Linked DNA regions of Mus musculus: regions 1, 2, 3, 4, 5 and 6 are each reported to be linked to region 7. The links are microRNA targets in miRTarBase. Many come from high-throughput screens and were not tested one by one. Region 7 holds a microRNA gene; each other region holds the end of a gene's coding sequence.

Evidence for each region. Region 7 holds the annotated microRNA mmu-miR-124-3p (UAAGGCACGCGGUGAAUGCC, at 1,979-1,998, shown strand). A microRNA usually pairs through its seed, bases 2 to 8, with sites in the 3' UTR of a target mRNA and lowers its output. Matches are read on the target gene's strand: a 7mer-m8 pairs with bases 2 to 8, a 7mer-A1 pairs with bases 2 to 7 and ends in A, and an 8mer does both.
Region 1: miRTarBase lists Smc2 as a target of mmu-miR-124-3p. Seed matches in the 3' UTR shown: 7mer-m8 at 1,510-1,516.
Region 2: miRTarBase lists Aacs as a target of mmu-miR-124-3p. The part of its 3' UTR that is shown has no 7-base or 8-base seed match.
Region 3: miRTarBase lists Man1b1 as a target of mmu-miR-124-3p. Seed matches in the 3' UTR shown: 7mer-m8 at 1,752-1,758.
Region 4: the mRNA of Lhx5 is a reported target of mmu-miR-124-3p. The part of its 3' UTR that is shown has no 7-base or 8-base seed match.
Region 5: the mRNA of Ccnb1ip1 is a reported target of mmu-miR-124-3p. The part of its 3' UTR that is shown has no 7-base or 8-base seed match.
Region 6: the mRNA of Rras is a reported target of mmu-miR-124-3p. Seed matches in the 3' UTR shown: 7mer-m8 at 700-706.

Annotation. Positions count from the first base shown.
Region 1 is chr4:52,486,033-52,490,270 of GRCm38, forward strand. Smc2 (structural maintenance of chromosomes 2) reads left to right here. Exons shown (of 25, transcript NM_001301412.1): 25 at 465-2,333. The coding sequence ends at 623. Among named protein-coding and RNA genes, the nearest start is that of Smc2, 49 kb to the left of the region's middle.
Region 2 is chr5:125,515,897-125,520,134 of GRCm38, reverse strand. Aacs (acetoacetyl-CoA synthetase) reads right to left here. Exons shown (of 18, transcript NM_030210.2): 18 at 2,730-3,919. The coding sequence ends at 3,782. Among named protein-coding and RNA genes, the nearest start is that of Tmem132b, 14 kb to the left of the region's middle.
Region 3 is chr2:25,349,682-25,353,919 of GRCm38, forward strand. Man1b1 (mannosidase, alpha, class 1B, member 1) reads left to right here. Exons shown (of 13, transcript NM_001029983.2): 13 at 681-2,532. The coding sequence ends at 884. Dpp7 (dipeptidylpeptidase 7) reads right to left here. Exons shown (of 13, transcript NM_031843.2): 9 at 3,927-4,045; 10 at 3,679-3,835; 11 at 3,472-3,536; 12 at 3,005-3,075; 13 at 2,609-2,885. The coding sequence ends at 2,738. Among named protein-coding and RNA genes, the nearest start is that of Dpp7, 4.5 kb to the right of the region's middle.
Region 4 is chr5:120,439,906-120,444,143 of GRCm38, forward strand. It overlaps Lhx5 (LIM homeobox protein 5), which reads left to right. Exons shown (of 5, transcript NM_008499.5): 5 at 53-1,552. The coding sequence ends at 420. Among named protein-coding and RNA genes, the nearest start is that of Lhx5, 10 kb to the left of the region's middle.
Region 5 is chr14:50,786,414-50,790,651 of GRCm38, forward strand. It overlaps Ccnb1ip1 (cyclin B1 interacting protein 1), which reads right to left. Exons shown (of 4, transcript NM_001111119.1): 4 at 2,836-3,599. The coding sequence ends at 3,400. Among named protein-coding and RNA genes, the nearest start is that of Ttc5, 3.0 kb to the left of the region's middle.
Region 6 is chr7:45,020,832-45,025,069 of GRCm38, forward strand. Rras (related RAS viral (r-ras) oncogene) reads left to right here. Exons shown (of 6, transcript NM_009101.3): 5 at 256-374; 6 at 449-815. The coding sequence ends at 533. Among named protein-coding and RNA genes, the nearest start is that of Rras, 5.0 kb to the left of the region's middle.
Region 7 is chr3:17,793,745-17,797,982 of GRCm38, forward strand. It overlaps Mir124a-2 (microRNA 124a-2), which reads left to right and starts at 1,918; the gene lies at 1,918-2,026. Mir124-2hg (Mir124-2 host gene (non-protein coding)) reads left to right here. Exons shown (of 3, transcript NR_033490.1): 2 at 849-1,269. It overlaps Gm51272 (predicted gene, 51272), which reads right to left and starts at 1,997; the gene lies at 1,941-1,997.

The DNA.
Region 1 (4,238 bases), not on the chromosome of region 7:
AAGAGGCTTTCAGGTCAGAATCAATCAGCAAGTAGCCTGCAGATACTTTGTCCAAAGCTCATAGTATCCTTAGCAGTAGTGTAGCTTCCACTTCTGGGAGGTAACCAGGGGCAATAGTAATGGCCTTTGTGTTTTACAAGGTACTTGGGAAATCCTGACCATCAACTCAGAAGCTTCTCATGTTTATATGCCTACTATTAGTGTGTTAGTCCTTAGCTTCTATGTCAGTCTAGATGGGAACATTTATATTTACACAGAGACACACACACACACACACACACCACCACCACAGTTTACCATTTTTCTTGCTGTTTTCCTTATGCCTCCACCACCCCTTCCCATCCCATGGTCTGCTTTTACTTTTTTGTTTTTGTGCTCCATTCAATTCTTAAATCCTCTTTAGAGAGTGAACAACTTTAAGAATATTTTCTTTAATGTTTTTTTCTTTTTTCTCTTTCCTTAAGTTCATTGTGGTATCCCTCAAAGAAGGTATGTTCAACAATGCAAACGTTCTCTTCAAAACCAAGTTTGTGGATGGTGTTTCTACAGTAGCCAGATTTACGCAGAGTCAAGCTGGGAAGATTCCGAAGGAAGCAAAGTCCAGAGGAAAAGAACCCAACTGAGTGCATGCCAGTTCAGAGTACAGACTTCTCACCTTGACGTTTTTACACATGAACTTCCAAGAATTTGGGATCCAAGTTGTTTATATAATAATGTTAACATTATTTTCATATGTAATTCTTTTTAGCACTTTTAAAATTGCAGATTCCTCTTTTCTTACCTAGTGTGATTATGGTCCAATTATTGTAGTTGTGATTGCATGTATATCATCAATTTTTTTCTTACAAAAATCTTTTGTATGTATTAAAGAACCTGAGGTACATATAGTTGGTAAATTGTGTATGCAAATGCCCAAAATACAAAGAAACAGATGAAGTTATAGGATAAATATAGCTGACAGTCAGCTTTTAACTAGTTTAATTTCTAAGTACAGTATTAATGACTTTTCTTTTGCTTATAAAATCATTCAGATACAGAATAGTTGTAAAGAAAGTCACTGGACCATTAAAGGGAACACATAGCAATTATGCATACACCGAGCTACTTGAGGTCAGTCCTGTGGAGACAGCATGCCAGATCCTTGGCTGGGAAATGGATCTGGAGAGACTTTCACGTTAGTGAGGTTGGACTATCATGTTTATGTATGTTTAATAATTGATCTCCACAAGCTTGAAATTTGAGTGTTTTTTAGCTTTGAGTATTTTAGTAGGAGCTTGGGAAGAAATGTGTTATTACACAGTATTACACTTGGATTATTCTATCTACAGTCCTGTAATATTTTGTAAGATTTCTATCAGACTTCTCATAATCTAATCAATAATTTTTTGGTGAATGTAGGACCTAGCAGATTAAATGAAAAGTATATTTTATAAGAGTCTGGTAAAGGTAACTAAGTCTGTCTTCTCTACCAAAAAAACCTCCAAAGCTTCATGATTGATGAAATTCTTGGTGCCTTCTGCTTGTCTGGGTCAAAGGTAAAACTCCTTTAGAAAGCAGGAGGGGCCCAGTACACACCCTGAGATCCTGCAGCTCTTACTGTCTCTACGTACATTTCCACATCAGCACCTCATGCCCGTAATCCTCAGAGCGCTAATGTGATCTGATTGGATTGGACAGATGGGGCCCATGTTTCGTCCTGATACTTAACCCTTAGTTCCTTGATGTTCTACTTTCTTTGTTGTGTCATACAGGCCCTGAGTTGGACATTTCTCAAACTTATATATGTGGTGTTATATAGACCTTAAGTCATTTGTACCCTGGAACATTTTGGAAATTATTTCATCTGGAGGGAAGTGGCAGTAGGCTGAAAATACTGACTGATGCATAGTAGAAATCTCAGATAATGGACCTACACAATGTTTTGTTTTCCAAGGGGTTATAAACTATTGGTCAAAATAGTTGTGTTTATTTACCCTGTCTCTAATAGTGGTATTCTAATTTGATCACAATCTAGTCAATGCCAGCTGTTAATATTTTGTATTAGGCAATTATAAAATAGCGTTGAATTGCTGTCTTAAGCTTATAAGTGACTATTTTGTGTGATTTCCTTTGTCTATAAATTATTTCCTTGTATGCCTTTCTGTTTTGTTTTCTTTTGTTTTTGTATTTTATATATAGTTTCACTCATATTTTTGTGCATATATTAAATTTCTGTGAGACATGCTAAATTTTTGTAGTACTACAGTTTTTATTTCAATATAGAAAAGTTGTTAAATAGTGACTTTTCATATATTCATAAGAAGGTGGGTTAACTAACATTAATAACTTAAGCCAAACATTTCTTTTGTTTGTTTGTTTGTTTGTTTGGTTTTGGTTTGGGTTTTTTTTTTTTTTGGTTTTGGGTTTTTTTCAAGACAAGGTTTCTCTGTGTAGCCCTGGCTGTCCTGGAACTCACTCTGTAGACCAGGCTGGCCTCGAACTCAGAAATCCGCCTGCCTCTGCCTCCCAAGTGCTGGGATTAAAGGCATGCGCCACCACGCCCGGCCAAACACTTCTTGTTTATATGTATTTTCTTACTTAGTCCTCACATAACTCAATAAGGTAATCTTTATCAGAATTCTGTTACTGAGGAAACTGAACAGAGGTTACATAAATTGCCCATAGTATCACTTAGTAGTATCAGATTTGGGGGAAATACCTTTTTTATTTTCCTAATACTGTATATCCATGGACTTTTCTACCATGTCCCAGTTCCTGAATATCCATTCAGAGGCTTCATATCATTAATAAATGCCTAGGCCATGAGCTAGGCTCAGTCCCTGACTAGCTCTTAACTTATTATTCCATTTATTCTAACCTGTGTCAGCTATGTGGCTGATTTCTTCTCTGCTGTCCTTCAAAATCTCCCCTGACTTTCTTTCTGCTGGACATGGCACCTTCTAACCCTGCCTTACTCTACTGGCTATTAGGTTTTATTGACGGGTGATCCTTCCTACCATGCTATCTACAGCAGCCACTTCACTACCTTCTGAAAAACACTGCTTAACCAGACCCTTGTAGAGGAGAAGCCTCTAACCATGGTTTATAAAATGATCATATGCCGTAAAACCCCTGTTTAGCTCTGTTTCACCAGATCTACTAAGTCATTTGGGAGCAACAATACATTTTAAGATGAAGTTGGTGCTGGCTGTAAATCCCTTAGTGAGCCAGGGTTCCCAGATAATCCACTATCGCCTACGCGAACACATGATTTGAGGGGAATCCCATTCAGCCAGTTAACAGACAAGAGGAGAAAGCACGATTTCAGGTCACAGATGAAAATGCTGCTTGTGGATTAAGTTTACAATAAAAGTACCATAGGTCTGAACACCCTGAAAGATGGTGGCAAGTGAAAAAGTCAATGAGTAGATTTAAATGTTGCAGTTGGCCTTGTACTTTGTGTGGAAACAAGACCTAAAGTTAAAAATGTGCAAAAAAAAAAAAAAAAAAAAAAAACAAAACAAAACAAAACTCATAGGCCACGGTGAGTGGCTTGTCTGGTTACAGAGACTATAACAGAAGTAGTGGCCAAATTAGTACAGGTATGCAGAATGAAGTATGTGGGAAGATAGAGGAATGGTGACAGGCTTGAAAAGAGTACTACCACTGGAGAATCTCCACCAGGGAAGAGGTACCAGATACCTAAATGGTCAGTGAGCTGAGCAGCTGTCAGCAAGATTTGTGCTTCCAGTCTTCCTAGCATGGGTACTGAGGCGCAGAGTTGATGTTGTACTTCATTGTGGTGCTGACAGCTGTCCAGAACGGAGATACTGGGTCAGCTTGTATAAAGAGCCTTGGTTTGGAAACCAGCTACTGGCTGGTGTTTGTCAGTATTCTACAGAGTTTATTCAGTAAGGTTTGCTATGACCTTTAGGAAACTATTTGTAGATTGTAGATAAATTTGATTGGGAGAGGAGTAGATTTGATTAAGGAGTGACTGCCACAGATGTTGGAAGTGTCACTGGTTAGGAGTCTTCAACTGCTGTCTGTTTCACATTTTGGTTAAGCTCCCAAGAATCTCTGCCTCAGATTGTATCTTGGCATGGTAGGGAGGATTTGCATCTAACAAGTTATAGTTAAAAATGGACCCAAGAATCAAGCCCATGTAGCCATTTTAATGCCTGACAAAATAGACTTCAAACCAAAACTAATCAAAAGATGAGTGACAGACACTGTATACTAATCAACAAAAAACCCAA
Region 2 (4,238 bases), not on the chromosome of region 7:
ATTTGCATAAAGACTAGCTTCCGATTTTTAATGTCTCCCACCTCCAGAGTGAAGGTGGCAGCCACCCAGGCAGGGCCGGAAGTGGCTCAGCCAGCCCTGTGCCTGTCACAGAGGAGTCAGAAGCCTCTCGAGGCATCCTTGGCCAGGCCAAAGCAGCCTTGATGTCTGCCTTGTCATTTATGCAGTTAAGTTCAGCCTTGAACACCTTCCCGGCTCCCTCCTCCTCATTCACCCAGGGTAGGAGAGCTAAAGGATGGTTTTCCCAGAATGCCTTGCAGATCTATTTCTGGACCAGAGACTACCTAGGGACCCCGGCCCCTTCCCCAAAGAGTGCAAATGTCTGACCATGTCTCACCTCTTCAGGCTCTGAACACAGCTTCTGTGACTAGGGCCAGAGCAGTTATCTTGGAATCCTACCTGGCCCTCAGTTTGTGAAGTACTTGCCTACTAGACCCATGGGCCCCAAATTCTGTCGACACATAAAAACTAAGTTACGGAGGCAAGAGAATCAGGAATTCAGACACCCTTAGAGGTGTCTAGCCTTAGAGGCTAGCCTGAGCTACAAGAGACCCCATCTCAAACACACACAGCTAACCATGATCCAACTCCTTCAGAGCGTCTGTGTCTAAGAATCATGAGAGTATCTTCTGATTAAAGCAGGGGTCATGATAGGATATCATCTGAACAAGGGTCTGGGATTTCTGACTGAACTGGTTGGCCCTCCTCAGTCTGTAGGATGAGAGGCAAGGCCTGGGAACTGCTGTGTGGCTCCACCTCAGAGAAGGCTGGCTAAAAATAAACCTGGGGTCTGAAGACAGAACATTGAAAATGACACTGTCACTTTGACGGAGTGCCCGACCAAGCCACCATGAACAGTGACCATCCATCACCAACCTCTGCATTTCATGTGGGGAGCCGAGATACCAGGATGGAAGGGGACAGGTAGGTGGGACAAGAGGGAAGTGGCTGCCTAGCCAGAAATGCCAACGCATAACCCCCCAGCCCGTGGCACACCGGTCAGTCCCCAGGCTACTGCCATGAAATGAGACAAGCAGAGGGGCTAAACCCCATGTTTAATTTGCTAGGTCAACCATGTAGGGAAGCAGACCTCACAGAACTGTCACACCCCGAGTCCCTGCTAAGTCAGAGTAAGAAAACAATGAGTTATGGGATAGAGAATTTATAAGAACCTGCGTTCTCAAGAGGTGAGACTGGCACAGCTGAGTTATTTGGCTCAGCAGTTAAGGGCATTGGCTGATCTCCCCAGGGCTCACAAGAGGGTTCCACACTATCCTGAACTGCCCTCTTCTGGCCTCCGTGGGCACTGCATGCGTGTAATTCACATACATATTCGGGGTAAAACATTCATACACATAAAAGTCTCTTTTTTTATTTTACTTTATATGATTACACTGTCACTGTCTTCAGACACACCAGAACAGGGTATCAGATCCCATTAGAGATGGTTGTGAGCCACCATGTGGTTGCTGGGAATTGAACTCAGGACCTCTGGAAAAACAGTCAGTGCTCTTAACCACTGAGCCACCTCTCCAGCCCCATAAGTCTCTTTTTAAACGGGCTGGTATATAACTCAGTGCTATACAGCACCAGCCTAGCACATGAGGCCCCATGTTCCATCCGCTATACCATCAAATTAAATGAATGTAACAGGAGAACGGAAAAGAGCAAGGCCCAGACACATCCTCAATTGTGTAGCCCCCTAGAAATCACACAAGAAGCCTGATTCAGATTACCCACCTCCATGATGTCCCTTCCTCCTCTGGGAACCTTTGGGGACATGTGTGGCAAGAGGGATTGGGGAACCTGATGCTTACTAGCACACAGCAAAGGGAAGAAAACCGGTGGCCACAGGAATGGCCAGGGTCCAAGATACATACTATAAACGGGATGAGAGCCCACCAAGGCTTTAGAGATAACAGACAGGCCCTGGCTGAGGTAGCAGACACCCAGACAACCCTAATAACAGGAAGAGGCAGGAAGGGACTCTTGCAGAACCTTTAGGAGCCAGCCCTGTGCACACTGGTGGGGCCACCTCGGGCTCTGACCCCTGAACTAGGAGCCCCTGGTCAAGGCCCCATGACAACCAATCAACGGGAAACTGCAAAAGGTCCCCTCAGTGCTCAGGCCCCCAAGCGCCCCTGCAGCACAGCCAGTGGGGCTCAGGCAGCTTGACCTGACACATTCCAGGAAAGCCATCACTCTGCTGAAGCCAGGCTTCCGTCACTCACCCTTCCTGCAGGAATGGGTACAGGAACAGGAAGGCTTGGTGGGAACGAACCAGATGACACCACCAGGCAGCCGATCAGACAACCACACCAGGAACGATGGAGCACACAGCACAAAGCGGGGACCAGATGCTCCTGTATCCTAGAGATCAGGACTGCTACCCACTCTCTGTGGTAGGAAGGCTATGGAGGGCTGAGCTGGGTGTCTGTGGCTAGGTGGCAAAAATCCAAGGAGACTCCCGTGATAAAGTCGCCCTGTAATCCAGCTCCAGGAAGCAGGGAGGCCCAGGATATGGGGAGGCCCAGGGCAACACCGGCTTAACACAAACCAAGACAATGCTAAACACCAAGAGCTCAGGAAACACCATTATACATCTTGTGCTGGGTCACACCACCTCACAGCTCAGCAGTGAGCTGACACTGGTACGGCCAGCCAAATGTGGAGTCCCATCACCTCAGAGAAACACACGCGTACTGCACTTGTACAGGTGTGCATGGCACAGATTTATTCCATAAAATTCTTCATAGCACTTTTCCTTTATAGACTTAAGATCCAGGATATCTTTAAAAGGTTTTATGTTGTGCTCAGTTTTTAAAAAAAAAAATACAAAAGCAATCACCAGGATTTATGACATATTCCGTGTGCTAGAGGAGAAGCACCATTAAGTCCTGGCAGCCAAAGCCTGAGACTTCATTTACAAATGTAGAGGACAGTCACAATAGAAAGAGCCCAGGAACTATTAGGAGGGAGCACGGGGCCATTTCCCTCTGAGGCGGGGCAGCTCCATCCCTGGCGGACTCCAGGATCACACTGCCCAGCACACAGCTAAGTGGTAACCTGGGGTAGACACCCAGGGATTCAAGTGCCCCCAGGCCCTCAATTAACATTAAACCGTTTGACCCATTCAAACACTGTGCTGGTAAGACCCAGAAACAGTCGGGGACACCCGACAGCAGAGGGGACTTGCCATAGCAGAGAGCTCTTGGCTGTCTGGACAATTCACTCACCATTCCCTAGAATGGTGTTCTGGCCTTGGTAGACGGTACAGGAGCCGTCAGCCCAGGTGTCCCAACAGCCAGCTGTGAGGTGACAGGCATGCTGGGCCAGGTGCCCTGGCTTTAGTCAGCTCTTGAGAAGACAGTAACGCTGAGGAAGCCAGGCCAGTTAAGGACAGAGAGTATAGGTAAGACTTCACCTTCATAGAGCGAGATACAACAGCGGGCTCATGAGGCTGAAGGCCACATCGCTCCTCCAGTGTGCTGTCACCAAATGTCACCAGCCCTGCCCCTGCAAGGCTGTGTGCTGACCTATAGCAGCAGGGCCGAGACAAGCCTCAGTGTATGCTTAGGGTCTCCGAAGGCCAGGCACATCCTGGAGCTCGGGAGACCTGGCCCCCACCAATGACTCCGAAAGAGGAAAGCTGTTCCTGAGCCTGTGGAGTGTGCAGTGCCAGGGCCACCTGGAGCAGCTGTTGTCTCTAAAGTGTCCCTAAGTTCCATCACATGCACAGCTGGATGGAGTGCGAGCTGCTGGCTCAGAAGTCCTGCAGCTCAGGGATGTCCCGGTACAGGTCGAGGGTCTCGGGGTTGGAGAAGGCCCCCCGGTGCTCCACAGTCCTCCCAGCCATCACCTGCTTCACGGCCACCTCCACTTTCTTGCCATTGAGTGTGTACTGTGGGGCAGACACAGAGAACACAGAAAGGAGTGTTTAAACCAGAGACGGCAGAGCAGCCCTGACTCTGGCTTCTCCTCCATATTCGCTTCCAAAAAGATCCATAAACCCAGCTATGCGGTGGCTTCGAACACATGCCACGGCACCTACAGACACCTGAGGGAACCCGCTGGTGACGACAGCCAAGGCAGTGCTGACACTGTCCACGGAACCATGCCACACAACTCTATGCCTGGGTCAAAACCACATGAGCACAGGGGTGTCTCCAATGCTGTGCACCTCACCAGGCACGTGTGCAGGTGCTCTGGAGGGGCCACAT
Region 3 (4,238 bases), not on the chromosome of region 7:
CAGACTGAAGAGTCAGTTTTCTGAGGCCTCCAGTTAGCTGCTCCCTAGTTGTCTGTGACCTTGATAGTGTAGTCATCCTGCTGAGCTTGGTGGTGTCAAGGCCCTGTTGTCTTTACAGGCTTAGAGATGCCCAGTGTTTCCGGGCTCATTCTCAGGACCCAAGCTTTTCTGAGAAGGGTCTTTTTTCTCTTGCCCTGTCATACCCTTGGCTTATGAAACACTCACAGTGAGCCAGAGTACTGACCTCACACATTACCCCTCCCCAACTGGGGTCCATGGCCTACCTTGCCTTCTCTCTTACTGTGACATGGCCAGAAAAGGTTATAGAGCTGGATGTGGTCTAAGTGTGACACCTAGCTCTTTGCTCCAGACCTCAACAACTCCAGCTTCTTGCCTGTGCCTGCCCTGGGTTGTGTTTAACAAGCTAGACCCTGGTCATGTCCTGTAGCTGTACCCTTCTTGGAGGTATTTTCTGGCCACTTGGGGGTTATTGGCATTTTACAGGGTCCTGTGTAGAACTGTGGTTGACCTTGGACATTACCTGGGTAGTTGCTAGGATGGAGCCTACCCTGGGGCCATATATGTGGGGTTGAACAAGTAGCCTGAGTGACACGTCTAGCTAGAAGTTCTTCACAAGGCTTGGCTCAACCTGTGTCATTGAGGCTTTGGCTCTTATGCAGGTCCCCTCAGGTGGCTATTCTTCTATCAACAACGTCCAGAATTCCCACAAGCCTGAGCCCAGGGACAAGATGGAGAGCTTCTTTGTGGGGGAAACCCTGAAGTACTTGTACCTGCTCTTTTCTGATGACCTGGAGCTGCTCAGTCTGGACAGCTGTGTGTTCAACACAGAAGCCCATCCCCTCCCCATCTGGGCTCCTGCGTAGGAGGAGAGCACCTGGTCTGGGCACTGATGGAGACTGAGGTGGGCCTGTTGGGTCCCTGACCTTCACAAGGCCCACATAGTTTTGGGCAGCTGTCAAGTGTGATGTACCTGCCCAGTTGTAGGTCCCTCCAGTTTCAACTTTTCATGAAGGTGGTGGGAGGGGCAGGAGTCAGACTAGCAGGTATGGGTTCTGGGGTTTAGGCTGGAAAGTCTACCAAGCCTTTGACTTCCTCGAAACCTCATATCATGGCTCCTGATTCCCATACCTGAATGACCCTGTTGGCTGGCTACCGGCAGCCCCATGGTAGTCCCAAGACTTCTTATCACCTCCTGGGACCACCCAGGACCCCAGTGCCTGTATTGAGTTCAGAGTGATAGCCCAAACCAGTGAGGTGCTGGGCATGGCCCAATGGCCTGTGATAGCCCTGACTCCTGATTGACCCATGGGTCCACTGGGCCAGTGTGACCTTGAGGGTCTTTGTGGCTCTAGTGTTTACGGGTTGGACTCAGGGATCCTCCTGGCTACCCTACTGGGCTGGCGGGGGTTAGAACAGTAAATTTGTCTTATTCCCAGGATACCCTGGTATAATGTGATCTCTCAGCTGAGAAGAAAGTGGACTTGGTCCCACTGTAATGGTTCTTGTGGAGAGGAGGGAAGGGGTGGTGTCTATCTAGACTGACCTTAAGGGGACAGCAGGTTCTCTGGATAACATCTCAGCAACTACCCTCTAAAGTCAGAGCTCCTGTCCACTTCAGGTAGGAAGGCTTTGGGGCCATTATACAAACAGGCTAGGATGCTTGGTTGTGCCGTCTCACAAGGGCCTGTGAAGATCACATGCTGCTGCCGGCTGATAGGTTTGTGGTAGTTGTGCCTTGGTGTCTGAGCCCATGGAGTAGGCCCTGTCTTTGATGAGTTGTTACTAGACTATCCCTGGGCCTTGGCTAGGATTCTCCTATCCAATTCCATGCAGTACAGCATAGGGCAAACTGGACAGAATAGAAAGGACCTCAAGGCTCTGGGCCTGTGTTCCCTGTATATCCCAAGATCTGGAGATTTGACATGCTAACTAACTCATCTGCAGCTCAGTGGCAGCCACCTTGTGCCTCTGAGGTATAGTAGCTACGCTGGGGACTTCCTGTTAAACACGTGGACCCCAAGCCAGTTCTAACACCAAAGGTGTTTACAAAGAAGGACTTGGCTGGTCACATATCCTTAGGCCTTGAGTTTATGGGTAGAAGCTGCCGCCCTCCACCCCCCCCCCCCCCCATCAGTTATAACCCTTTGGTTGATGTTAGCTTCTCCCTATGCTGTCCTCCTCTACCGGAGCCCCATAGGCTTGTGAATGGACAGGTTCAGGCGGCGCCCAGGGCCTAAGCATTGAGAAGTGTATTCTCCATCTCCTGCCAAACTATGGCTGGTGTCAAGGGATGACAGTAACTGCCCTGTGGCCCTCTGAAGAGGTACTGTGGATCAGAGAAACTGGGTAGATGTCCACAAAGCTGGGAGCCTCATTAAAGCATACAAGATGGGAATGGGCCTGGAAGGGGAGGCTGGTGCCCAGTAGAGGCAGGTTTCCCTCCTCCTCCAAAGCAGGAAACCTGAGAGCTAGAGTCCCTGCTTAATTAAATGTCTAAATGGTCTCAGCAAGCTGTGTGCAGTGTTACTTTGTGTAGAGCATATCTCCAATTATCTCATCCTTCCATGCATGGATCCTACTAGACAAGGACACATTAACATGTGTTTATTCAGTTTCTTCCATCTACCATAAATCTGGACAGTCCATCAGATACAAGGCAAGTTGTCACACCACTGTAGATCACATAAAACAAGGGATGTCTGGGGTTTGCTGCATCTTATCTGGAAGGGTGCTGCTTCTTAGGCCCAGGCCACCGTGGCATTGCTGGTTGCTTTAGTCTGGCTGCTGCTACCCACTCACGAATGAGGGTAGATTCCAGCTTACGCACCTCCACGACAGATGGGGGGTCTTCTGAGTTAGATGCTCTAAGAAGCAGACAGATAAGGGGTAAGGATACTCAGCTGGCAAGCAGACAGGGTCAGCATCATGTCCATCTAATCCACAACCCAACAGTGGCCTGGAGGTGGGCTGCACTACACTGTACCTGAGATCTAGGTGATGTGCTCCCCCCTGGATGGTGACAGCAATGACTGATGTACTCAGGTTGCTCTGGATCTGTTGGAAGAATCTGAGGCATGTAGTCTGTGCTTTAAGCCACAGGTAGGCAAGCCCTGTCCCACCCTTGCACCCTGACATAGATGCCAATACTGTCTTTGGGATGCAACTGAAGCAATAATGAGCTTACTGCACAGTTTCAGATAGCTCCATTGGAAAGAAAAGGTTGGATGTGATGGGCCAGATGTTAGACTATACATCAAGTGATGTAGGGGGAAAAAAAGCAACCCAAAAGAGAGAAGAGGAAATAATGAGGACTGGAGCAACAGATGAATTGGGCCAGGTGAACCTGAGTGTCAATCGCAAAGGCAAAGTTGTATGAGGAGCCTAGCAATGCAGTTCAAGCACTGCCCAGAATACCCACATGGGGCCAGCAGCTGCCAGGCCTGGACTTACCCCGCCCCCTGCCCAGGGGTCTAGGTCACCGTTGGAGAAAATGATGTTGCTGGCTGCTTTAAGGTCTAAAAGGAACACAGCAAGTGGTGGCAAATTATCCAGGGCTTTAAAGCTGTGAGCTGCATCTGGGCACTGCAGAACCAGCTCAGGACAGAGGACAGGATCCTTCCCAGCATCCAACTCCCAAACACCAGCCCAGGCCTTTACCACCACCCCAGAAGCTGGTCTGCAGCCAGTCTTGCCGAGGCCACACGCCCCATGTATCCAGACAGTATTGCTGGCGGAGTTCTTCAGAGAATGGGATTTCAGGAAACATGTCTGTCACATTGTTGCTGTCAAAGGTCAGATTGATCTCCGTACAGGCCTGTAGGTGCCCCACAGTAAAATAAGTCAGACAGGCAAGCCACACACCCAACCCCTATGCTTGGTAATTTAGCTCCTCTCTGTCCACAAACCTGGTAGTCCCAAGCCCTAGCGTCAGAGCCAGTGCCACAGCCAGTGGGGTCAGCACAGCTTTGGTATAACCGGTAGATGTCATAACAGGGTTCCGTGCCAGAGGAGTTGTAGACCAGCCCTGGATGGGATTAGTGCTGGGACCAGCAGCCAGCCAGCCAGTACAAGCTCCAGCCACTACCCATCACCTTGGAAGGAAGGCTAAGATAGGTCTGCCACAGTAAAGTGAGCACTGGGAGGCTTGGGAGCATGTGCCACCAGCTGGCCCGGCTGTTTTAACAGCCCAGAGACACTATGTTATATATCCCCAGTAC
Region 4 (4,238 bases), not on the chromosome of region 7:
GGCCCTGGCAGTCTGTCCTCACACGGTCTCTTATCCCTTTTCCCTCCCGCAGACTACCAAAGTGACTACTACGCTCCGGGAGGCAATTACGATTTCTTCGCGCACGGTCCGCCGTCACAGGCGCAGTCCCCTGCCGACTCCAGCTTCCTGGCAGCATCGGGACCTGGCTCGACGCCGCTGGGCGCGCTGGAACCGCCGCTGGCCGGGCCTCACGGCGCGGACAACCCCAGATTCACCGACATGATCTCGCATCCGGACACGCCGAGCCCCGAGCCGGGCCTGCCCGGTGCGCTGCACCCCATGCCGGGAGAGGTGTTCAGCGGCGGGCCCAGCCCGCCCTTCCCCATGAGCGGCACCAGCGGCTACAGTGGACCCCTGTCGCACCCCAACCCTGAGCTCAACGAAGCGGCCGTATGGTAAGGCCGAGGGGCTGAGTTGTCCCCCTGCCACCAAGCCCGGGACGGGACGCCGCCTGGGTAAGCCTCAAGAGTCCTCTCGTGGGTTCGCACCCAACCAGGCCACTCGCATCACCACCCCTCAGAGCTTTGGCACGCGCCTGCGCAATTTCTCGGGACCAAAGTCAATATTCTGAAGGGTCGAGATTCCAAGCACATCTTAGAAGCCCTCCGGATCCCCCACCCATCATCACCTCCTTGAACTAAGAGAGGGGGATGAGGCCAAGGAGCGGAGACCATGGCACTACCCCTCCCTGCGAGCCGAGGCATTGTGAAATCCTATTTCTCACTTTCTCTTTTAAAAAAAGAAAGAAAGAAGGAAGGAAGGAAGGAAGGAAAGAAAGAAAGAGAGGTTGAAAGGGGGAGAGAAAGAGAGAGAGAGAGAGAGAGAGAGAGAGAGAGAGAGAGAGAGAGAGAGAGAGAGAGAGAGAGAGAGAGAGAGAGAGAGAGAGCGCGAGCGAGCTGAGGAAAGCTCAGCCAGAGAAGAAAAATGAGGAGGACCGCCGGTGAATGGTGGCTTTGCAGGAAGACAAATCCACCTGCGAGTTGGCGCCCCCTGGTGGCTCAATGTCAGCTTGTCTAGGAAGGTGCGCGGTCTGGGCCTGGCCTTCCTGAGCCCAACTCCCTGCTCCTCCATACTTTGAGTCTGAGGGGCCTGGCAGGATTCGAACCCTCCCACCCTGCTCTGACCCTGAGCCGGGCGCCAAGTCATTGAGCATTTGCCCACGGATCACTCTCCCTGCCCGGGACCTGGAGGCTGGGCCATCAGGACGAACAGTATTATACTTTTTTGGAAGTCGGACGCTTCTAGTTTCCTTATTTTGTATAAAGAAGAAACAAATAAAGTATGTTTTTGTGTCTACTGTTTATTTATTGTACTCTAGTTATCTGGGGCTGGACATTTTTATATTTTTAAGAGGAGGGTGGGGCAGAGTTGGGGAGGGGAGCCAGAAAGAGGTTTACAAAAAAAAACAACAACAACAAAATAAAACACACACAAAAAAATACAAAAACAAACAAACAAAAAAAAAAACAAAAAAAAATCAACTTTTTTTTAACAAAAAAGAAAGATTAATAAAAAAATTCTTTTTTCCCTCAACTCTGTGTGGTCTTTTTTTCATCCAGTATCTTGAGAGTCAGGGTAGGTGTCCCCAAAATTACAACTTGACAGTTACAAAGACCCCTCCCCCACCCACTAGGGCAGTAATTCTCAAACTATGAGTCGAGACCCCCAGGAGAAAAAAAAAAGACAACAAACCTTTCACAGGGCTCACCTGAGACTATCAGAAAACACAGATAGTTACATTATAATTACATAATTACAGTTATGAAGTAGCACCAGAAATAATTTTATGGTCAGGGATCACCACAATGTGAGGAAGTGTATTAAAAAGTCACAGCCTTAGGAAGGTTAAGGACAACTAAGCTAGTGGCTTTAGCTTTAGTTTTGTTCCTTTTTTTATTTCATTTTTTTTTTTACTCTGTGTGTGTGTGTGTGTGTGTGTGTGTGTGTGTGTGTGTGTGTGTGTGTGTGTGTATGTGTGTGCAGAGACCAGAGGACAACATTTGGGACCCTTCCTCCAGATGGATCCCGGGGATGGGACTCACATGCATCAGACTTTGTAGCAAACGCCTCTACCAACTGATCCCTCTTGCTAGTCCCATTTGGGGACTTTCTGTAGTGGACAATTGTCTCTGGTGCTTTGATCCAGATCACAAGCCAGCCAGGTGCATAGTAGGTCTTCAGGATGACTGAGAAATGAACAGGTGCTTGTTTCTGTCTCCTTCAATTATGTCAAAAAGAAGTGTAGTCTAGCATTCCGGATGTACACCTATAAATCCCAGCACTTGGGAAGCTGAGGTAAGAGGATAGCAGGTTCTAGGCCAGTCTGAGCTACATAGTGAGACCTTGTCTCATAGAGGGGGTGGGGACTGGGAGAGATTCTAATTTCTTCTTTTTTTAATTTTATTTATTTATTTATTTTTATTTCATGTGCATTGGTGTTTTGCCTGCATGTATGTCTGAATGTGAGGGTGTCAAATCTTGGAGCTATGGACAGTTGTGAGCCGCCATGTGGTTGCTGGGATTTGAACTCAGGACCTCTGAAAGAGCAGTCAGTGCTCTTAACCGCTGAGCCATCTCTCCAGCGTGGGATTCTGAGTTCATCCCTATTTATATTGCATGTGATTTCCAGATGGCTGCAAACAAAAGCAGAAAATGCTATGGTCATGTGCCCAGCAAGGTACAGTCATCTTTAAGGCTGCTGGGGAGGACGGGTTCTGGAGAGTGAGCCTGTGGTTCTTCAAGCCTTGTGGAGTGTGCACTGCCTTTAGACAGACAGAAATGGCTATGACTTTTGTTGATGTTGTTGTTGTTGTTGTTGCTGCTGCTGCTGCTGTTGCTGTTGCTGTTGCCGTTGCTTTGTGTTTTGGGACAGAGTCTTGCTATATAACCCCAGGCTAGCCTCGAACTTGAGGCAATGCCTCCTTAGCACAGAGATTACAGGTGTGCCCCACTGTGACTGCTGTGGGGGGGGGGGTTAGGGATCGAACCCATGACTTCATGTATTCTGGGTGAGTGAGTACTCTAATCACTCGGGTTGAATATGATTTAGGAGACCTGAGACCACACCTAAAAACAAAGCCTCTCTCTTCTCTGCCCCAGTTTCCTATCTTGGAGAAGCAGAAGCTGGGACGACTGCTTCATTCCCTCCCTTCCTATTTAGGCCTGATAGGCCCAGACAGGCAGAAACGGTGTGGAAATGAGTGGAAGTGTCCACCTTTGGGTCCCTTGTCACTCACGCTCAGGAGGGGGAGCTGGTCCACTTTAGCATCGGTGAAGAGGGTTTGGGGACAGGGAGAATGAGCTGCTTGAAATGAGCTCAAGAAGAGGAACCTGTTCCATGGTCCTTGTGGCCCTCGAAAGATTCCTGCAAGGTGGCCAAAATTTCCCCTTTGCATGCACCTCTTAGAAGCTCTTAGGTCGTCACCAGATAACAGCCAGCTGCTCATTATGGAGAACTGTATCGAGCGTTCAGATCAACAAAAGGCAGAAAAACCCATCACCCGGAATGCCAGGCACTGTGGTGAGGAGAGGTCTGTCCAGCCTCTTTTTCCTGGGTATCCTCCCTCCCCACACACACCACCCCGCACCCCAACCCTACCACTTCAAATCTCTGTGCAACTAGGTGCTTCCTCTCCCACTGAGGTCAGACAAAGCAGCCCAGCTAGTAGAACACATTCCAAGTACAGGCAACAGCTTTTGGGGTAGCCCCCATTCCAGTTATTCAGGACCCACATGAAGGTCAAGCTGTACATCAGCTAGATATGAATAGGAAGCCTAGGTCCAGCCCTTGTATGTTCTTTGGTTGGTGAATCAGATTCTGAGAGCCCCAAGGGTCCAGTTAGGAGACTCTGTTGGTCTTCCTTTGACTTTTGAAGCCCAGCGTTGTGCTCAGAGCACAGCCATGGGGTTACCTGCCAGCTCAGAACATCTTTCAGGTTCATGACAACCTTCTAGACCATTGGTTTTTAACCTGCAGATGGCCTCTTTGGGGGGGGGGGTCACATATCTGATATTTACATTGTGATTCATAACAGTAGCAAAATTACAGTTATGAAGTAGCGATGAAGTAATTGTATGGTTGGGGGCAGGGGGTCACCACAACATGAGGAACTGTGTTAAAGGGTCTCAGCATTAGGAAGGTTGAGAGCCATTGGTCTAGACAGAGCCATATTTAGTCTCTAGTTCCTTGACCAGATGAGCAGCTTGGTTTTGTGTGG
Region 5 (4,238 bases), not on the chromosome of region 7:
CATTCGTTACCCCTGGTTTTTAAGTTTTGAGACACGGTCTCACTATGTAACCTCAATTGTCTGAAAGTCTGTATGTAGATCAGGCTGACCTCGAACTCAAGGAGTTCCTCCTGTCTCTGCCTTCTAAGTCCTGAGATTACAGACAGGCATCACCACATCCAACCACAATCTTAAAACTTTTAAAATTCCTTTGCTAAAAAAATTATCTCTGCAAAAAGACATTAAACACCTCCAAATGCTTCCAAAAAGACTGTGCAGCAGAGACAAAGAAAAAAAGTGATCATTTCCTGAAGTGGAAATTTCTGGAGACTCAGGTCATAATGCTTTGCTGGGGCAGACAGGTGAAAGGATGTTTGGCTGAAGCAGACACAGGTGAGAGGATGTTTAGCTGAAGCAGACACTTGAGAAAGAATATAAATATGATCCCACAGACAGTGAGTGGGACAAGGCTTGTGCTTTGGCTCATCTTGCACCTCGCTAGTCTCAGTTGATAGCGCTCTAGGCCTTGCACCACCTTGCTGATCTCTGCTTCTCACTGATCTTAACAGAGAGTAACTCACCCAAGAACTTCTCATGATATTCCGACGGCTTCTTGCCATTTCCACAGACTCCACACCGACCCAGCAGAGCCTCTCAGTTTATTCTGAATCCAGCTACAGCTGCTGAACTCGTATGTGGTGTCTGCTGAGTGGATGGAACTGCATCTGCTGATTGGTGTGTGGTAGTTTGCTAGTAGAGTGAACTGCTGATAATGCTGACAACAAAGATTGGAATCACCCAAAGAACTCTTTCTAAACTAAACAGGTCCACTTCCCGTGTCCTAATAACCTTTCTTTTGCATGACCTCTGGTGGGTGGGAGGCTAGAAGTGAAGTTAAAGAATTTAAGGACCCTTATTAAAGTACGTTTTGAAAAAAAAATCTAAGCCTACAATTCCCTCTGCTTTTTTTCATGCCTTTAAAAGAGCCCACAATGGGGCAGTCGAGATGGTGCAGTAGTTAAGAGCACTTGCTGCCTTTCCAGAGGATCCAGGTTCAGTTCCTAACACCCACATGGCAGACCACAACTGACTATAATTCCAGTTCTAAGCTATCTGACACACTTACACAGGCATACATGCATGCAGGCAAAAACACTAATGCACATAAGGTAAAAAAAAAAAAAAAGAAATCATAAAAAATGAAAAGCCTGACATGCAAATTAAAATTAACTTTTTTAAGAAACATAATATTCCTGACAGTTTATAATTAAATTTTTTTCAAATTTACCCTACTTATATTTCAAACTGTTCAAGATGCCTATTTCCTTATATTTTTCCAACAAAATTGAAAAATCTCATAGAAAGAATATTTCTTAAACTATAATCTAAAATCTTTTTACTAGCTATAAAATATGTATTTTCACTTATTGGTCTTGGTGTTAGGTGCTTCAGGGAGGTAGGCAATGCCATCAAGGGGCAATCATCTCAACCAAGCTTTCTGCCCTGTGCAGAAAGGCGACTAGGGAAGCAAGACTGGCAAGCCCCACACTGTGCCATGCAAGATGACAAGTCACTGTGTCTCTGTTGGTGCATCTTATCCCTGCTCCCAGAGGCACTGGCATGTCTCTGCTCCTGTCCCCAAGAAGCTCATGATTGCTGGCCAGTATTGATAACTGCTACCCATCAACCAGGGGCTGTACTTGCCACCATGGACAACTTTGCCAAGGCCACCATTGATGCCACCTTTAAGACCCACAGCTACTGTGGGTCTTGCCCCCACCATCCCCAACCTCTGGAAACAGACTGTCACCAAGTGTCCTTATCTGGCAAAATTCACTGACCATCTCCATAGTAAGCTCAGGCCTGAAAAATAATAATAATAATGTCTCCACAAAAACAAAGCTAGAAAGGTTAACTCCGTCTCACACTGGTGTATGTGGAGGGAAAACCCTTGGAATCCAGTTACTGTTCGCCCTCTAGTGGAACACTAATTGAATGTACTAACTAGGCACAATTACCCTATAAGTCAGAAATAGTACTTGATAAAGAAAAACTGTTTAAAAGCATTAATATACCTTCTTATAGTCAGCAGCACTAGTATAGGAATGGCTTGATAAGTTCTGATTAAAGTTGACCTTCACAAATCTTTCACCTAATCTGTAACCATGTTAATGTGCTTTGAGGTCATTTCTAAGTAGGAACCACTCGTACTTTATAGTCAACCTGTTCAGAATTGACTGAACCAAGAGAACACTGTAGAGTCAGTCTTACTACACTCTGGACCTCCAGTGCATCTCCGGGCTCACCTGAATTCACAGCCTTAGCAATGTTCTGTAAGCAAGGCCAGAAAAACAATTTTCTCCCTTATAAGATTTGCATAGAAGACTAAGCAAAAGCTACTTGGTCCTTTTTGGTTTGTATAGGTTCTTGAGACAGGGTTTCTCTGTGCAGCCCTGGCTGTCCTAGAATTCACTCTGTAGACCAGGCTGGCCTCAAACTTAGAAATCTGCTTGCCTCTGTCTCCTGAGATAAAAGTTGTACATCACCACCACTTGGGTCCTCATGACTATATTTGCTGTACAGCTCAATAAAGATGGCCTTTATTCAGCATTTTAGATTAGGTAATTAGAATGCTAGAGACCAAAGTCTTCACACTCTTGTGCACAGGGACACAGATAATTAAAAATAAAAATATGCCGGGTGGTGGTGGCTCACGCCTTTAATTCCAGCATTTTGGAAGCAGAGGCCGGCAGACTTCTGAGTTCAAGGCCAGCCTGGTCTACAAAGTGAGTTCCAAGACAGCCAGGGTTACACAGAGAAACCCTGTCTCAAAAAGCCAAAAAGAAAAGAAAAAAGAAAAAGTAAAGAAGCAGTTTTATTTTGAAACAAATAACAATGAAATCAACAAATAACTTTATCAGTATAAATTATTTTTACATATAAACAATTCATATGCATCAAATTGCACATTCATTCACTGGCATAAGTGCACCTCCAAAACAAAGTAACACAAATGAAAATACATGACTGTTAAAATACATGTTAATGGAAAGCCACCATTTTCCAAGACTATCATTTTTGGCCATCATTTTCCAAGACCATTATTTTTACAGAAATATACTAGCAGAGAAAAATCAATGCACACATTTAACATAAACACGGTAGAATCAATCCAAAGCTCCAGGGAAACATAACACTGAGGCTTCTATGAGCATAAACACAGCTTGGTCTGAATCAGGATCTGTGCAACAATGTGATTGTGTGAGCAATGACAAACGTAGAGACTGAGATTCATGAAATGCCCATGCCCTAAGCTAACAATCAAGAAACCAAACAGGAAGCCACACGCCCTACTGCAAGCCAACTTCTTCTAAGGTCGAAATGTGAAGAGAACTCAGGGATGCAGGAATGAAAAATGAGCTAAATTCTTTTTGCTTTAAAGGCCCTGCTGCAGACTTGCTGCTCTGCTTCATGGCTTGGAGATGCAAAACTAAAGAAGTTGTTAATGGGTTCAGGCGCTGTGGGAGAACACACAAAAAATGGTCTGAACTGAACATCTTCATCTCCACCACCTTGATTTCCAACTGGTATATGGTCCAAAGAAAACTTTGAGTTATTCCCTAGGGGAGGAAATGAGGGGAGAATATAAGAATATTTCTTAAAAGATCTTTAGGAACAAAACTCATAACCACTAAATATATATTAACAAAATTCAACTCCTACAAGATGGATAGTATAATTACCTTAAACTCATCTCCTAGACCAAAGGGCATGTCACTCCGCTTTCCCCTACCATGGAATATACTATCCCCTCTGTAAAAATCAAGCAGACAGAATAAACATCTGACCATTTCTACCACACCTTCCTTGGCTTTAACATACTTCAAGGAGAGGACTAGCTGACTTCATCTGCCAAAAGACAGCAAGGATCAAAAGCTAAGAAGAGGTCTGGAGGAAAGGCTCGGGGGTTAAGAGCACTTTGTGCTCCTGTAGCAGACTGAGCTTTTGTTCCTAGCCCTCACATAGTGGTTCACAATCATCCAGTTTCAGGATCCTACCCTCTTCTGGACTCCATGGGCAGTGTACATGTGGTGCACACACACACACAAAGCTGGGCAGTGGTGGCACATGCCTTTAATCCCAGCACTTGGGAGGCAGAGACAGACAGATTTCTAAGTTTGAGGCCAGCCTGGTCTACAGAGTGAGTTCCAGGACAGCCAAGGCTATACAGAGAAACCCTGTCTTGAAAAAAATTTTAA
Region 6 (4,238 bases), not on the chromosome of region 7:
ACTGGTTCCCCTGTCCTGAACAAGAACACCCTTACTTCTTGCCTGCCTGCCTTCCAGTTACCTAAAACACCTTCATAATCTTCCTGACATCTCACTGATATCACTTCAACCCTCCAGTAGCCTCCTCTGGGGTCTTTCTAGAACTTTCTATCTTGAGCCTGCTGCAGTTATACAGTCGAGCACACCTTGCGGCGGCTTTCAGCATCTCCTCTCTCCGACGCCTCCCTTTGTCCTCCTCCCTCTGTCTTTCTCCAGGTCCTCCGGTCTGAAGCCTCCTCTTTCAGTGCTTCCCACCACATGACTTACTTTGAGGCCTCAGCCAAACTGCGTCTGAATGTCGATGAGGCATTTGAGCAGCTGGTGCGCGCTGTCCGGTAAGCCCGGTATCCCCTTCCTGACCTCCCGGTCATCAGCCCTGCATCACACACTCACAGACTGCTTCCCACAGGAAATACCAGGAACAAGAACTCCCTCCTAGCCCACCTAGTGCTCCCAGGAAGAAGGATGGAGGATGTCCCTGTGTCCTGCTGTAGCCAAATAGCCTCAAGTGACCAGCACAAGCTCTCGGGACCAGCTGCCTCACACTTACTGTGTGGACCAAGGCTCGCTCTAGCTGAGCCTCTGTTTCATCCTCTGGGTTCCCCAGGACACACTACACCCTCTTACTTTTACTTCCTGGCCTCCTGGGGCTACCACTGTGTGCCTTCTGTCAATACCTCCTCCTTTCCCCACAAGACCCTGTAGGTGGGGGGAGCATCTTGTCACTGCTGTATATAAGCCCCATCTTTCAGAAAAATAAATATCACTGCCAACAACTGGAGATGCTTTTTATTTGAGGAGTTGTTAGAGATGGACCTAGAGTCGCATGCCTGCTAGGCAAGGGCCCACACTCTGCATCCACAGCCCAGATTTTCAGTTTGTTGTTGGTTGGTTTGATGATTTTATTGCTTTGTTTTGGTTTTCCGAAACAGGGTTTCCCTGTGTAGCCCTGGCTGTCCTGGAACTCACTCTGTAGTCCAGGCTGGCCTTGAACTGAGAGATTTACCTGCCTCTACCTCCTAAGTACTGGGGTTAAAGATGTGCGCCACCATGCCACACTATTTATTTTTCTAAATGGGAATGGTAATCTGGCTAGATGGCCAATCAGGTAAAGGTGTTTGCTGCCAAGCCTAACTTTCTGAGTTCAGATATCAAAACCCATATGGCTGTGGGGGAGTGGGAGGGCAAGAATCAATTTCTGCATTTCTCTGCTATCTTGAATGCTGTGGCACCTGCACATGTGCTGGATAGGTTTTTTTGTTTGTTTGTTTTGTTTTTTGTTTTTTGTTTTTGAGACAGGGTTTCTCTGTGTAGCCCTAGCTGTCCTGGAACTCACTCTGTAGACCAGGCTGGCCTCGAACTCAGAAATCCACCTGCCTCTGCCTCCCAAGTGCTGGGATTAAAGGAGAGCGCCACCATGTCTGGCGCTGGATAGTTTATGTCAACCTGACACAAGGTACAATCTGAGAGAAGGGAGCCCCAACTGAGAAACTGCCTCTGTGAGATCAGTCTGTAGGAAAGCATGTAGCACATTTGCTTTCTTGTCTTTCTTTTTTTTTTTTTTTTTTTTTGGTTTTTTCAAGACAGGAGACAGGGCTTCTCTGTATAGCCCTGCTGTCCTGGAACTCACTTTGTAGACCCGGCTGGCCTCAAACTCAGAAATCCGCCTGCCTCTGCCTCCTGAGTACTGGGATTAAAGGCATGCGTCACCACGCCCAGCTGCCTTCATTTCTTAATTCAAATTTATTTTTTACGCATTGGTATTTAGTCTGCATATATATCTATGTGAGGTGTTAGGGTCCCTGGAACAGGAGTTGCAGGCAGTTATAAACTGTCACATAGATGCTGGGGATTGAACTGAGTCCTCTGGAAGACCAACCAGGTTTCTTAACCACTGAGCCAAAGTCTAGCCATGTTAACTCATTTTGTAATTAGCAGTTGATGGGGAGAGCCCTGTATATTGTGGGTTTTGCTACCCTGGGATTGTAGGCACCGTTTTATAAGAAAGTTGGCTGAGCAAGCCAGTAAGCAGCACCCTCCGTGGCCCCTGCATCCACTCCTGACTTCAGGTTCCTGCCTTGCTTGAGTTCTTCGCCTGATTTCATCCAAAGATGAACAGTCATATGGAAGTGTGGTTTTTTTTTTCCCCAACCTTTTCCTCCTAAATTTGCATTTTGCTATTGTGTTTTATCATAGCAACAGTGAATTTAAACTACGACACCTGGTGTAGTGGCACATGCCTATAACTCTAGCATTTTGGAGGCTATAGGAAATTTCAGAGGTACAAAAGAATTAGATCACAAATTCAAGCCCAGCTTAACCTCTATGACAAAACCTTGTGTGTGTGTGTGTGTGTGGGGGGTGTCTAGAAAGTTCTAGAACTAAACTATTCAATATGGTGGCAAGAACCTACATATGACTATTAAAATTAAAATGGATTTCCTTGCTGGGAGGTGGTGGAGCACACACTCTGAAGGCAGACGTAAGTGAATCTGTGAGTTTGAGGCCAGGCCTGTCTTCAGAGTAAGTTCCAGGAAAGCCAGGGGCTACACAGAGAAACCAAAAAACAAAAACAAAAACAAACAAACAATTTCTGCCAGGCACTAGTGGCACACACCTTTTAATCCCAATTCTAAAGGAGCAGAGTCAGGGGAAATATAAGTTTGGGACTAGCCTAGCCTACAGAGTGAGATCCAGGATAACTAGGGCTATACATAGAACCCATCTTGAAAAAACAAATTAAATGATGTATATGGATGTTTTGCCTGCATGCCTGTGTACTGTGTGCATGCAGTCCCTCCAAGGCCAATAAGGTGGTCAGACCCTGCAGAACTGGAGTTATTTTGGGGCTGAGAAAAGAACCCCAACTTCTGTCATAACAGCAAGTGCTCTTAACCATTAAGCCACCTCTCCGGCACATGGACCATTTTTTGGCACATACACCAACATGTCTACTTTTCATGTTATTTTTCTTCGGAGTTTTATTTATTTATTTATTTATTTATTTATTATATGTAAGGACACTGTAGCAGTCTTCAGATGCACCAGCAGAGGGCATCAGATCTCATTAGGGATGGTTGTGAGCCACCATGTGGTTGCTGGGATTTGAACTTCGGACCTTCGGAAGAGCAGTCGGGTGCTCTTACCCACTGAGCCATCTCACCAGCCCCTCATGTTATTTTTCTTAATTTAGGAAATGGTTTCTGCCTGGGCAGTGGTGGTGCATGCCTTTAATCCCAGCACTCAGGAGACAGAGGCAGGCAGATTTCTGGAGTCCACAGAGCCTGGTCTACAGAGTGAGTTCCTTGAAAACCCAAATAAATGAATAAATATAAAAATCCATTCCCTCAAATTCAAGATCCCAATAGTCATTCACGACTACCAGTGGACCCTAACAGGCAAAGCAAGATCCCGACAGTTGCAGAGAAACCAGCTGCAAATGCTGTTCTAGAAACTTCCAGGGACTTAGAGACTAGAACTCCATCTAGTGATGGACATCAGGCACAGCCCCATGCTGAAGAGACGGACAGATGAGCAAGATGCCTTCTGGGTTTGCGAAATATCTCTGTATACTGATATTCAAGCCAGGACCCACAGATCCTGCCATACTGTGTGACATCATGGAAGGCTGGGTCCCAACTTGGTGACCACAGGACACCGGGCACAAACCTCCAACCCCATCAGACCAAAATGGGCTTTACTGAAAGGTCTCACTTAGCCCAGCTAGCCTTGAACTCTTGATCCTCTTATTTCCACTCCCCGACTGTTGGAATTACAGTGGTGAGCCAGGGTGGTGGTTTGAATACGCCTGGCCATAGGGAGTGGCACAGTTGGGAGCTGTGACCTTGTTGGAAGAAGTGTGTTACCGAGGGGGTTGGCTCAAAGACCTTCATGCTAGTTGCCTGAAGCCAGTCTTCTGTTTTGGCTTTGGAACAAGTTGTAGACCGCTCAGCTCCTCCAACGCCATGCTGTACAGACATTGCCGTGCTTCTCGCCATGATAACGGATTCCTCAGAATCTGTAAGCCAGCCCCAATTAAATGTAGTCCTTTATGCCTTACCTTGGTCATGGGCTTCTTAGCAATGGAAATCCTAACCCAGGCAGTATCCTGGCTTTATCATCCACCTTTGAACTCCAGCCCTCAGCCAACACACCAGGGTGGAACTTACTGTGAGTGTCCTGTGCAGAACACAGGCCTT
Region 7 (4,238 bases):
GCAGCTCTTGGGGGCTGCGCGCCTTCTGCAGCTCTTTGGTTTCAAGGACACAGCGAGCTGTTCAGGACTTTGGGAGCCAACATCTGTCTGACTGGTGACGTCAGCAGCCCGTGTAATCCTCTTGTGCTGAAGGCAGATGCCTTATTTGTTTGGCTGGAGCGAGCCATTAATCCCTAATTCTGGATCAGCAAGCGAGGGGGAAAGACCGGACCGCTACGATCCACCCCCTCCCTGCCCCCACCGCCCATCCTAAAGCACCTTATATCGCGGAAACCACTCAGCCTCCTCTTTCCTCCGAGAACACGCGGAGCAGCCCCTGAAAACGCTTTGGTCCTCTGCAGGTTTGAGCAGAGCTAGCAGCTCTTTCGCCTTTGGATTTCTAGGGCTATGCCTATATGAAATTCTTTATTTCATCGATCATTTCGATTTTCATGCGAGAACTCTTCAGTCTTGCAGTTTGCAGGATTCTAAACCAAGAAGGGGTGGAGATTGGAGAATGCGGTTCTGGCGTGTGGTCTGAGGGAGGGGTTAGATGGGTAAGGGCGCGCGGGATGCGCAAATCGCTGAGACTGCACAGAGGACAATCTGAGGACTCGCTTTCAAGACTCCATCTCAGGAAAACATTTCTCTCGTCCTGACTGCATCTTCTCACCTTCCGAAGCCGGGATTGAGTTGGGAACTCCCCTGTCGCCCCGCACATTGCAGGGGCTCCCCGAGCTCGATTCTATAGGTCCGGACGGCCGGTCACCTTGGCTCCCTAGAGTGATTCCTCCCTCCTCCTGTCCCTCCTCTCCAGTCTCCCCCTCCTCCCTCCTGCTCTAATTCTGCGCTTTGATTCTGTTTTTCAGGGGGAGCGCTCTGGGGTCTCCGCACAAAACCTGCTTTTGAGCCCTTTGGCTTTCTTCAGGCGAGCGCAGTCCGTCCATCCCCCTGGCCCACCCAGCCGCAAGGGATGCTGTGAAAAGAGCCGCTGCTTGCCGCCTCCGGCCTGCCGTCCAGAGGGCTCCGCCCGTAGAGGTCAACTCCCCTCATTCTTCTTCTTTCCATCTTGCCCTCCCTCCGCCGAGCCCAGACTCGGATCTCCTCCTGACTCCCGCCGCAGTCAGAGAGAGCGCATCTGCTGCGCTGCCCTTAAATCTACGCCCAGAGCGGGCTCAGACCCGATCTCTGCTCTCCAGAGCCGGAGGAAGCCCGAGCAAGCAGCCTTTTCTCTTCGCAGTAAAATCATAGCCAGACCAGATGGGCCCCAGCTCTCCCGGGACTCGGCAGGTGCTGTTGAGTTAATTTTTCCGCAATACAAAGAAGGAGGACCCAGCCGGCCTGGGATTCTGATCTTTTCCCAAAATTTCCCAACCAAAATCGGGCTATCAAAGGCGTATACGTGTGTTTGTCGGACATACAAACATGCATGATTATATTCGCTTTTTCTGCTAGATCTCTGGCAACAGGGGATGAGTGACAAAGGTTTCTGCAGCAGAACACTCATGGTGTGGTCCTTAAAGACTTGCCTTTCCTTACAAATGTCTTAGGACGGCATTCAGGGCGAACCAACTCAGTTAATTGCCTTCAGTAAAATAACACGATTACGAAATTAGATCTGTACCAGAGGGGTAATTAACTTCGATCCATGTCATCATTTGAAAACTAGATTTATAGACATATGTATGGGTTTTAGGTGCGCTGTAAATGGCATGCAGATGTATGCATAAGAATCGCAGACTCATGCACCCGCTACTCTTCAACCTTGCAGACTAATTAATGGCAACTCTGACAGATGTGGCGGGAGGAAAGCTGAGGTGGGAGTACTGCTCAGAGCTACAACTCTAGGAGTAGGGACTCCAAGCCTAGAGCTCCAAGAGAGGGTGAAGGGCAGGGAGAAAATTATAGTAATAGTTGCAATGAGTCACTTGCTTCTAGATCAAGATCAGAGACTCTGCTCTCCGTGTTCACAGCGGACCTTGATTTAATGTCATACAATTAAGGCACGCGGTGAATGCCAAGAGCGGAGCCTACGGCTGCACTTGAAGGACATCCGAGAGAAGTTAGGAAGGGTGGGGAGAAACAATTCTAGAATGAACCCATCCTGTGCGACACAAGGACCCCTCGCATTGATTCAAAATCTTTAGAATACAAGACAGTCAAATGTTTTTCAGCGAGAATCTGGGAAATCCGCATGCATACTCCCAAGGGGAATATTAGAGGTTTCATTGACAGCTGTCAGGAGAGCTGTAGTTCCCATTGGTGCAAACGGTCTAAGAGATGGCACTCAGAGAGTGCTGGCCTTTTCCAAATAAAATTCTGGGTCGAACTGGGAAAACAAAACGGATGAGAAACCCCAGACCACACTGCATAAGAAACCTCAAATGACTCAATTATCAGTGAAAATAGGACCCCCGCCCCAAGCTTTTCACTATTCTCCCATTCTTTACCCAGTCTCATGGTAGCCTTGACTGGATTTAAAAGGCCAAGGCAAAGTGACAATACCCAAATCAGTCAATATTGTCCAATAAGAGGGAAAGGCCAAGCCAGGAACTCTAAGACTTGGTAAATTAATGTATTTGGAAGACCATGAGGTACTTAGTTAAGGTAGGTTCCATAACCCGAAAGCCTAAGAAAACCACCGCTGAGAAAGAGCCTTGGTGGAAGTCTTTGTTCTGTGGTGGCCTATCTGGCCTGGGAACAAAGGAGAGGCTGGAGAAGGATAACCCAAAGTGGCCGCACCCTCGCCTTGCTGACAGGATCATCTTCCTCTTCCTCTTTCTTTTCCTCCTCCATTACCTCCTCCCCCTCCTCTTGTGGTAATTCTGCAAACAAGGCAATAGAATTATAGAATCGCTTCTTCTCTAACCCAGCCCCATACCCCAGGATATTAGTTAACTTACAAATAAAAACCTTGAAATACGGAAAGACAGGCTAAACAGTATTTTGCTGAAACCATCCACTCTGACAATCAGCTGATTTGGCCAGAAACCCGAGTAGTTAACAAAATGTGCTAGAGAGAGATTAAATAGATTTTTTTTCCTCTTAAATCACAATCTTGAAAAGAGAAACACACGGTTTTCAGTTGAGGATCTTATCTCAGATATGGTCACCAAAGATACCTCTCAAAGGACCCTAGAGTGTGCCTCAAAATATATTTAAAAGGTTCTGACTGAGGTTGATTTAGTGACCAGAGCAGGCAGGAGTAGAGAAGCCTGCAACCACTCTCGTGGCTCTCAGCAAGGCTTTCTGTGGGACAGCTTTCCTTACTGAGTTCTGAGGCCAAGGCCCACAGAGTGGCAGGGTGATGGTGCCCAGGAGCTGGCAGTGAGCCTCGCTCCTCACAGGAGGTACTGCAGTCCTAGGAGGCCTGAATCCCACAGTGCAGAGAAAACCATACTGCAGAGCACAGCTCACTAGGGAGGCAGAGTAGCTTACCAAATCCCATATAATGAAGATTTGTCTTAGGAGTCCTGGGTCAAATGTGTCTGAATTAATGCATTCAACATATATTTAAAATTATCAGCATTCTAATTTAAATATTGAGAGTATTGTATATAAATAGTAAAATATTAATTTCTATATTGAGTCATATGTGCAATGGAAAAAGTAATAGACAATAGATTGGTTTGTATTCAGCCGTGGGTCCAGGAAAGAAAATGTTCCATGCTTGAATTTCTTTGTAGATTCACATCATAAATACTGTCAAACATCAGTCATAGATAAACTAAACAAAGCTGTAAAGAGACACAGTGACAGTGATTTTTACCTGGGCATAGAAATGGTCCATAAATGAACAATGGCCTAAAAAATATGTTTTTATACTATTTCTTCTCTTCCACCTGAATGGTTGAAATGTAGCCAATGATTCAGGAAAAAATGAGCTCAGAAATGATATTCTTGGGGGTCTAGTTCCTATTCACTCCATCCTAAAAAGGTGGCTTTTAGTTTTGTTTTCTGATTTTAAAACTCTGTAAATTAGGATCTTTATATCCACAAATTTTAGGTTTGCATTTGATTTTACACAATCTGGGGGGGGGGGTGAGATGGCGATATCACACTTTGTTGGGACAAGAGCTACCTCAAACACAAAGAAACCCCCTCTTGTGTCGCTGAAAAAAAAAAAAAAAAAAAAAAAAAAAAAAACTCACCAGAAATGGGAATGGGTTTGAAGTGCTGAAGGTTGTCATGGATGCTCCTCCTTCCAGCAACGACCTAGTTATTCTGGTGGTCTCTCCTCACAATCCCCTGAGCTCCTC